2 linked regions of the Saccharomyces cerevisiae S288C genome follow. The main gene of each other region encodes a partner of the protein of the gene in region 2 in a complex. Each region holds a gene or a part of one and is shown on either strand. Other genes may lie near its edges. The genes, in order: RAI1 and RAT1. A codon is read from its position in the direction of its gene.

Region 1 (3,524 bases), on a different chromosome or scaffold from region 2:
TAACGAAATTGATACGAGCGAAATCCCAAATATGGACTTTTCTCAAACGCAAAGCTTGTAACATCCAATCATATTGAGCGTTACGGTCTCTATATTCAATGGTACGTAAAGCGTGGGTAACACCTTCAATAGCATCAACAATTGGGACACAGAAATCATAAGTTGGGTAGATCTTCCAAGTTGATCCGGTTCTGTGGTGAGGGGTTAGATTACATCTGTAAATGACAGGATCTCTTAGAGTCTTGTTCAAAGCCTTGTAATCGATCTTGGCACGAACACAGTTCTTCAAACCTTCTTCAGTACCGTTTTTCATTTCTTCGGTAAAAATTCTTAAGTTCTCTTCAACAGAACGATCTCTTCTGGCAGAAGCAACACCATCCATACGTTCTTCTCTCATCTTTTCAGTTGGAGTGTCGTCACAGTAAGCTTTACCATCCTTGATCATTTGAACACAGTAGTCGTACATTTCTTGGAAGTAGTCAGATGAGTAGGTTATTCTATCACCCTTGATTCCTAATAAATCCAAATCTTCCAAAATAGAGTCTTGGAATTCTTCCTTTTCCTTCGATGGGTTGGTGTCATCGAATCTAATAATCAACTTACCCTTGTAAGCTTGAGCAAAATATTGGTTCAACAAGGCAGCTTTGGCATGTCCAATATGTAAGTATCCAGAAGGTTCAGGTGGGAAACGAGTGACGACTTCACCCATTTTGGCATCTGGCAAATCAATTTCAAAGTTAGCCTTGTGAGTTTCCTTCTTCTTACCCACATTAGCACTTTTCTTTAATTCTAGTAAAGATTTGCTCAAGAAATCGTGAGCTTCGCCGAAGATGGGATCCATTTCTAACAAAGTGTACCAACGAGAAACGTTAACATCAACCTTGTTCTTGATGATGGAACCGCACATACCATTGGATCTTAAAGCACCCCAACATGCTACATCAGCGGCAGAATACTTCAAGCCGCCAAGAATAAAGGTTCTTAGGTTCAATTGAGAATCTAGTGTTTCCAATGATTGTGATAATTTAGCAAAGTTCTTGATAACTAATTCCTTTTGGGCCAGATTAACCCATTTAGCAACTTGCTCTTTATCACCATTATCGAAGATGGCGGCGAATTTGCTAGTTATCTTGTTGAAGACATCTTCAGTAGCATCATCGAGCTTGGCAGCAGGTGCTTTCTTATCGTCCACCAACTTAATAGCTATGGAGTTAGGAGCTAACGCATTCACAATACGAGCAGCAATTAGTTCAGCATAAGCCACAATTGGGGCTTTTCCATTAATAGTCAAGGTAGATGGCATCTTGATCCCTTCTATGCTTTCCTTAACCTTTGAAAATAGTTTCGTCATTCTTATGGAAGTTATCTTCCATTTTTTTCACTTTATCTTGCTTTTAACGAAGAAGAAAAAAAGAGTAAGCATTCGGGTAAATTGAAAAATTTACTTCGAGAATATTAGGAACAGATGAGGTCTGGTAATGTTACTAATACTTCTGTAATATGGTGAAAGAATAGCGAAATATTAGACCAACATAGTGTATCCCAATGGGTGTTAGTGCAAATTTGTTCGTAAAGCAAAGAGGGTCGACAACAGCTCTGAAGCAGCCAAAGGAAATAGGATTCTATTCAAGAACTAAGGATGAAGAATATTTAATTAGCGATGATACGAATTTGAATTACTACTATCTTCCAGACGCTGAATTGGACAGGAAGTTGGATCTTTCATCAGGATTTCAGAAATTTAAGGATTATTACAAAGATTTTGAAGACAGGTGTTCCCTGCGTGGGCTATTAGAAACCATAGAAAGCTCTGAAAGACATAAAGGAAAAAAAATTAATGCTGATATAATTACTTTTAGAGGAATAGCACGGAAATTAATTTCATGTGCATTTGACTCTCCATCTTTTAATACAGTTGATCTTCGTATCGTTTCATTCAACGGCCAACTTTTTATCAAGGAAGTGCCTGAAGCTGTCAATGCAGCTAAGGCTTCCTCTGCAACTGAAGCAGGGCGTAATATAAATCAAGATCTGAATGTATTTACAGGGTACAAGTTTGAAACTTTGGCTACTCTTTCCAATCCGTTGCAGTATACACCCCGTGAAGTGATAGAAAAAAGAACTAAAAGGATTGTATCGCATGGAGATGAATACATTAGTGTTGTGAGAACTGGTGTAGGTAACTGCAAGTTAATTCTTGGTGCTGAGGTGGATTGTATATTTGACTTTAAAGAAAACGGTAGAGACAATTTAAAACATTATGCCGAATTGAAATGTACGCAGCAAGTTGCGAACATATCGGATACGCATAAGTTTGAGCGTAAACTGTTCCGGACCTGGCTGCAATGCTTCTTAGTTGGGATCCCAAGGATCATATATGGTTTTAAAGACGACCATTATGTATTAAAAACTGTGGAAGAGTTTTCAACGGAGGAAGTACCTGTTTTATTAAAGAACAATAATCCACAAGTTGGAAGTGCATGTTTAGAAGCCATTAAATGGTATGGTCTCCTTACTGAGTGGCTTTTGAAAATGATACCAAGAGATGAGGATCCTCATTCTCAAATAAGAGCATTTAAGTTGGTTTTCGAAAATAATCACCTAAGATTATCCGAAATTGAAGAAAGTGATGAGGAATATTCAGGTTTGATTGATGGAGAACATATATTATCGAACGGGTTTAAGGAGTGGAGAAAATCTTTGAAATAACAATATTCCTTTATGTCTTTCCTGCGCATATCCTCATCGACGTATGGATCTAAATAATATAAATGTGCAGATTAGATTAAGTTATATACACTATGCATGGCGAACCGATTTTGTATCTTTATTATTGAGATAAACCCTGTATGATCCGAAACTCGTATTGGTAACAAATATTATACCTATTATGCTAATTAAAATGAAAAGGAAAGATCGTATACTGAACGCTTCAAAAAAAGCATTTATTACCTCCGCCAGAGTACGAGCCCATGCTTTAGCCCATTGGTAATCGGAGCCAGACACTATTTCCTTGTTCATACATTTTGACCATTCATTGCAACGTACCTCCAATGCTGGAACCCTCATATGAGGTTCGCACTGGTTTTCAAAATACCTTGATTTGCAAGTTGCAATTTTATCTAATTCTTCCCTCACGTTATGCTCCAGTTTTAAGTTAACATCGTTTCTTATCATCAAAATGAATTTAATAGCAAGAGACAGTCCTATAGTTCCTATAATAAAATTGAAAAAAAGCTGTATATACTCCGCAATTAAACTTGGGCTCAACCAAATGCTTTGTCGGGCTAATCTAGCATCTTGCGGATGTTCACCTTCCAATACTTCCTCCCTTCCCAATCTTGGGTTAGCAAGTATGCCATCAGGCTGTCTAGAAAAACTACGGAGTTCCATTCCGGGACTTATGTTGGGATAGGGGATTCAAAGATGAGTCTACATAAGTTAACTCATCAATAATAATGGAAAGAAGTTTCATTAGTTACTACTAGTATTTTGCTTGCTCCCGGGTAATGAATTTTTCCGCT
Region 2 (5,619 bases):
GATTTTCCGTGTTTTCAAAAGGAAGGGAAAAAATTGGACAAAAACCCGCGTACGAAAATTTTCCTGCTTAGCTCAGTCGGATTTATTGAAAACTTTATTTCATTTTTCCACAACATCCCACATTACCCGATTGTTTGTTGCAAGATTTTTTGAAGAGGACGCTTGCATATTGGCCAAGGAGGAAGTGTAAGATGTGCTTTCGTGACTTGAGCGAAGGGGTTGGCGTTGTATAGCATGAACTTCCCAATATGTTGCATTCATCCCTGGATGATAACAGACCAAAGACCAAATTTGATTTTAAGTTTAGGAACTTAGAAAAAAAAGGTAGTGCCGTATTCGAAACTTTCGCCGTGGACTGCCTCTCTTTTCAAAAAAGAAGAACAGACCATGCTTTTTCTCCTGGATCTGGAAGAAAAAATACACGAAGCGTATAAATCAAAATAGAGTTCGGTCTATTGGCTTACAAGGATTTCGCTATTTTACAAGAGGACGTATATTCATATATTCATGCTTCAGCATGATTTTCTCTTAACTTAATATGTTCCATTTTTTGTTATAAAATATTACTGTTCGTCGTTTGTAAGAGCAGACACTATTATCTTAAAAGAGCTTTTTTTTAATTGTATGAAGATTTTATAAATTTGCGAAAACCTAAATTTACCATAAAATAAAATGCGCACGAGTAGTTCTAACGCCTATTTGCTCTTGAATTGTCATACCGACTTTGCTTGTTATTCCGAGAGTAGCTGTTGCCGCTGTACTGTCCACTATTTCTATTTCCGGAATAGTTATTGTTCCTGTAATTTGAATTTTGTCTGTAATTATTGTTTCCACCATCATACCTGCTATTGTTGAAGCCGGGTTGACTGTTGTAGCTATTCCTACCATAGTTGTGGGCGGGTTGGACATTATTTCTACTGAGCTCAGCAAAATAAAAGAATGCTCGATAGCCACCAGTTCTTGGTTTGTACTGAGTAATACCCTTTGGTCCTACTGGAACAATATTTTGCTTCAAATCATTACCAAAGTTCCAGCGACGGGAGTAATTTTGGTTATTATACTTGTACATTATGGAATCAAGGTCATATGCTGTTAGTACCGGTTCTGACGGAATGAACCCGTTCAGTATAATAGACTTATTTCTCGATGGCAACGGAATTAATCTATAGGACATCTTTAAAATCAAGGTGGTAGATAAATTTGGCAGTGACCCACCTTGAATCGGACATACAATTTTCCCATTTAATTCGAAACCTTCAACGTCCTTTGATACAATACCACTTAAACCACTCTTGAAGTGTTGAAACTTCACAACAACATTGTTGTTGTTGTTTTCCTTTGAGTATAATTTCTTCGAAAACCTCTCATAATTAGCATTCTTGTTACTTATTAATAAAACAGGTTCTCCGCGAATATTTCTTGCCCTCTCAGCATCAGAAAGTAAAGGATATTGTGCACGAACAGCTGTTAACAGTCTATCCTGATCGATGAATGGTAGCAACGCTATGCCTTGCCAGGACATCTTCTTACCATTCATATCTATGGGAAATTCTTCAGGATAAAAATCAATGATTTCAGAGTCAGGTTCAGACATCAAAGACCGGAAAATTTTTGGCAAAGCATGGCCAGATGCAGCTGGTAAAACACTCATCAATTGTTCGTAAGGTAAAAATGGAGTACCTTCTTCGAACTTTATCTCCAAGTGAGAAAACCCATGGAAATCTGTTGCCAGAGGAGCATAATGGTACGGATAGAACCAATTCCAAGAGGCACAACCTTGATAGTAATACATTAGTACCCAGGCGACCCCTTCGATATAGCATTTTACCATATCTTTTCTTAACTGTTCAATATCTTGAGGAGTAACGTGAAATTTAGCTGTGTAATATCTTTCGTGGTAACCAGGTTCGAATAGTTTGACAAATTCATCTGTATCAAAGACCCCATTTTTGGGACCTTCGCTGACATTCACTGTGCTGTGGACTGGTGAATCTCTTGATACTTCTGTAGTTTCAGAGTTTTCCCTGTCGTTTACGTCAGCCACAATCTCATCTTTGATCTCTGCATCGAGATCGCACTCTGATTCCGCTTTCTCTGTCTTAACTTTTTTGCTATCCTTAGCAATTTCTTCCTCTTCATTATCCTTTTCAAGACGGTGTTTCTTATTTATTATTTTCTGTTTCATAACTTCTGCAAGGTTAAAATTAGTTTTGTTAGCCTTACTAACAGCATCATCAATTTCTTCCTTGCTGATATCTTTCATCAGTTCATTGTTCTTATCACTCTGTTGCTTAACTTTGGCGATTGCTTCTTCGTTCCCCTCGTTCGCAAGCATCAGTTCCTTTTTCAACCTTACCATATCACTGGTGGTCAAGTTCCATGAACCTTTTGCTAAATTTCCTTGTGTGTCATACATTTGCAGTTGCTCCGTAGCTACTGTAGGATGCCTGTCTTGACCTTTTGACATATTTTTCTGCGCTTTCCTTCTTTCAAAAGCTTCTTTCTTTCTGGCTTCTTGAATATGTCTAGTTTTGAAGATATCCCCCTCACGGGAGCCAAGGTGTTGCAATAGCGTTTCAACAGAAGGGAGGTTCAAGACACCGTCGCAGGTCATGTACGTTTTCAATTTCGGTAGTACTACCTTCCAAATATCCAAGAGAATATCAATACTATTTTCTCTGACATCTAAGCATGGTAAATGTGGTAAAAAGTCATTACCACAGAAAAAGCACATGAAAACCCAATCGTCGATAGCCCTTTCTAAATCAAATGTAAATGGAAGACCCGGAACCCATAACTCAGCGGACAAGTATTCCCTCAAAACATTTATGTGCAGCCACAAGAAAGGTTGTTCGGAATTTTGTTTTTGGAGAAATTGTTTTTCTTCTTCAGTCATATTTATAGTATCTTTTAAGTTATTTCTTTTCCGATTGTCTTGAGCAAAAACATCTTCTCTTAGAATTTTAAAATGTGGTTCATGAGTGGCAAGGCCCAAAAAAATTAAATCAGCATCCAAACCGTATATACAGTGCGTTGTGTTGGGATTATATTCAGGATCAGCTCTTTGAGACCTAATGAAATTCATTATTTTGTGCTCACCTTCACCTGGGACGGTGGCGTCACTGATAATCACCTGCAGGTTTTTCCAACCAGGGTCAGTGGCCAGTTTAAATGCTGTCCAATAACGGAGGGCCGCGGCAAGCTTATCCATAAATGGGGTGCCTGGAGTGATCGCATTTGAATCCCAAGTTTTCTTGTTCCTGACGGCATCATCGATTATCTCACCAACTTCTTCTCGCTGTCTCATAATTTCTTCCCTGGCTTCGTTTTCAATCTGAGCATCCCTAGCACTCCTAAATCTACGCGCTCTCTGCTGGTTCATTTTGGCACGAGGAGCAACACCATCAACAGCCATAACAAGTACCTTGCGTGGTCTAGCCATATTTAACACACGATTGGTATATTCAAAAACTGCCAAAAGCATTTCATCTTCAGTCTCTGGAGGCGGTTTGTTTTCTGGGTGCGAACATGGATGAACAATACCATTCATATCCAAATACAAGTTGTCTAACTCACCGTTTGGATTTGAGGCGGAATAATCCAACGGCAATATGACACCGTCGACTATCTGAGGTTGCTCTTCCAATACTGGGGATATGATCTTTGGATATTTTCGAGATAGCCATCTGAAAAATGACGGAACACCCATTATATTACGAAACTTGGCTGTAGCACTTCCTTGAAGAACCTGTCTCACTAATTATTACGGGATGTCTTTATGTTGTAATAGGTTCATCGATGAGGTTTGGTTTTTTATTGCCATAGCTGAAAATCTTATCTAGATACTCTCGTTACCCGACTTATCATTCCCGAGACGCTCAAATATACAACCTGATGAGAAAGTAAGGTAATATACCTCCAAATGTTCAAGATTATAAAATACATTGCAGTGCCTTAAAAACGTACTTCCGATATTATGTGATAGTAAACTTTTCGTAGTTTTTCATCAGAGATGGGGAAAGCTTTTTTGGTGAATTGATTTTACAACTACTTGTTTCAGTATACTATAAAAATCGAGTAAAATTCGTGAATCTTTGAATAGAAAAGATTTCGTGAACATATCTATAAATTAATCACTTTCTTAACCGATATAAGATTTTAGCCCGGTGATATAGGCTTCAATCAGCAGTTACGCTTTTTTGCTTTAATTTTACTGTTTATGGAGGTAAACTAACGCTCCTGCTCTCTTTCATATATCAACAGATAGGTCTGTTGATTGATTCAAATAAATTTATTTTCCTTATGTGCGCCATAATTATATGACCCTATAAGCTGCCGATAGCGGATTTTCTGTTCTCTATGGGAAACTCTGTAGTTTTCTTTTTTTTAGTTTAGTTCGTTCCCAAAAATGGAAGAACGTCAAAACAGTGATCTACATTAAGCTGAGGCGAAAACACTAAACGAGGAAAGTTATACGATGGCACAGGAACAAAATAGAAAGTATGTATGACGTTGAAGGCTGATTAAAGCATTGAAAGGGGAAAAATACTTGTGAACTAAAAAATGTACATATTACGATGTCGAAATATAAGGAAGTAAAAATGCTGTCCGGTTCTTTTGAATAGGAGAAAAAATAAACAGAACATAGTCGGGAACTTCGAGAAAAAAAGTAAGAATTGAAAAATGCATATGAACGATCAGATTGACATTCAAATTCTACGTATCACTAAAGTTTAGCCTTCTTTTTAGAGGAAAACAAGTTAGCTATTTTGGACATGAATTGTTTGAAGGTGCTAATCGGGTATTTCATGCTTGCTTGGAATTCCTCCTTTTCAATATCAAATTGTTTTGAATCCGAAGTATCTAAGATATCTTCAACATCGTCAGTATGTGGTAAAGTTTCAGGATCAACATGGCCCGGTGTGATTGGAATCGAGGTGCTTCTACCTTTAAACGCAAATCCAGGGTGGAAGATGGTCAAAGTGACCGTAGCGATGGCCATCATTAATGCATCTAAGATAATAAAATACCACTCGTGTGTGATCAGATAGCCATCCCAACCGACAACTAATTCAGCCAAACGGTAACAACAACGGGTAAAAATGGTTAGTACCGCAACGGTTATTGCCAGATTAAAATAATGAAAAACCCAACGTTTAGGTTCGAGTCTCAAAAAATGGAACTTTTCCCTGTATAAATAATCAACTTCTGTTTGCGATATCTTTAAGAGGCTCAATGAGATAGGTCTAGAATTTATGTGTTCCCATCTTACCGATATATATATACGGAAAAGGAAGTGAAACCATAACATAAGAAAGATGGCCATCGATGCAACTTGAATGGCCAAACCAGCAATGAAAACATGATTGCCGGTTGTTGTGGACGTTCCATCTGTGACCGCCACACCACACAGGCCACCGCCTACAGCTTGCACCACAAGCGATACGATATCGGAACATATGAAAATAAAAGAATACGCCATTGGAGAGGGCAATAAAGAGAACCTGTGGCCGTATACTTCTATAAGCTTTGCAAGTTGATAATAAATACCACCCATTGTGAAAACTGGTGCAATAGTCAAACAAATCATGTTCAAAAGAAAAGCGTCCATATCGGCGA

What was found.
Region 1: the proteins of RAT1 (region 2) and RAI1 are in contact, whole or in part, in a cryo-EM structure (PDB 9FMS), measured with the Saccharomyces cerevisiae proteins. Residues at the interface, in NP_014691.1 of Saccharomyces cerevisiae: Arg216 (codon at 3,064), Ala217 (codon at 3,061), Asp218 (codon at 3,058), Pro219 (codon at 3,055), Glu220 (codon at 3,052), Thr313 (codon at 2,773), Phe314 (codon at 2,770), Asp315 (codon at 2,767), Arg318 (codon at 2,758), Cys368 (codon at 2,608), Asp369 (codon at 2,605), Phe805 (codon at 1,297), Pro854 (codon at 1,150), Ser855 (codon at 1,147), Lys858 (codon at 1,138), Ser859 (codon at 1,135), Ile860 (codon at 1,132), Ile861 (codon at 1,129), Leu862 (codon at 1,126), Asn863 (codon at 1,123), Ile911 (codon at 979), Thr912 (codon at 976), Gln913 (codon at 973), Tyr914 (codon at 970), Lys915 (codon at 967), Arg917 (codon at 961), Thr918 (codon at 958), Gly919 (codon at 955), Gly920 (codon at 952), Tyr921 (codon at 949); in NP_011268.1 of Saccharomyces cerevisiae: Tyr46 (codon at 1,681), Tyr47 (codon at 1,684), Leu48 (codon at 1,687), Pro49 (codon at 1,690), Asp50 (codon at 1,693), Leu53 (codon at 1,702), Asp54 (codon at 1,705), Arg55 (codon at 1,708), Leu181 (codon at 2,086), Gln182 (codon at 2,089), Tyr183 (codon at 2,092), Thr184 (codon at 2,095), Arg186 (codon at 2,101), Ile189 (codon at 2,110), Glu190 (codon at 2,113), Phe226 (codon at 2,221), Asp227 (codon at 2,224), Phe228 (codon at 2,227), Gln247 (codon at 2,284), Val248 (codon at 2,287), Ala249 (codon at 2,290), Asn250 (codon at 2,293), Ile251 (codon at 2,296), Thr254 (codon at 2,305), Phe257 (codon at 2,314), Glu258 (codon at 2,317), Phe280 (codon at 2,383), Lys288 (codon at 2,407), Thr289 (codon at 2,410), Val290 (codon at 2,413).

What each region holds. Positions count from the first base shown.
Region 1 is NC_001139.9:36,802-40,325, reverse strand, and holds RAI1 (decapping nuclease), read left to right. Parts: upstream 1-1,545; coding exon 1,546-2,709; downstream 2,710-3,524. Other genes in the region: glutamate--tRNA ligase GUS1, read right to left, coding at 1-1,303; BRR6 (Brr6p), read right to left, coding at 2,800-3,393. UniProt on the Saccharomyces cerevisiae protein: Decapping enzyme for NAD-capped RNAs: specifically hydrolyzes the nicotinamide adenine dinucleotide (NAD) cap from a subset of RNAs by removing the entire NAD moiety from the 5'-end of an NAD-capped RNA.
Region 2 is NC_001147.6:417,942-423,560, forward strand, and holds RAT1 (ssRNA exonuclease RAT1), read right to left. Parts: upstream 3,710-5,619; coding exon 689-3,709; downstream 1-688. Other genes in the region: phospholipid-translocating ATPase RSB1, read right to left, coding at 4,727-5,619. UniProt on the Saccharomyces cerevisiae protein: Possesses 5'->3' exoribonuclease activity. Required for the processing of nuclear mRNA, rRNA and small nucleolar RNA (snoRNA) precursors.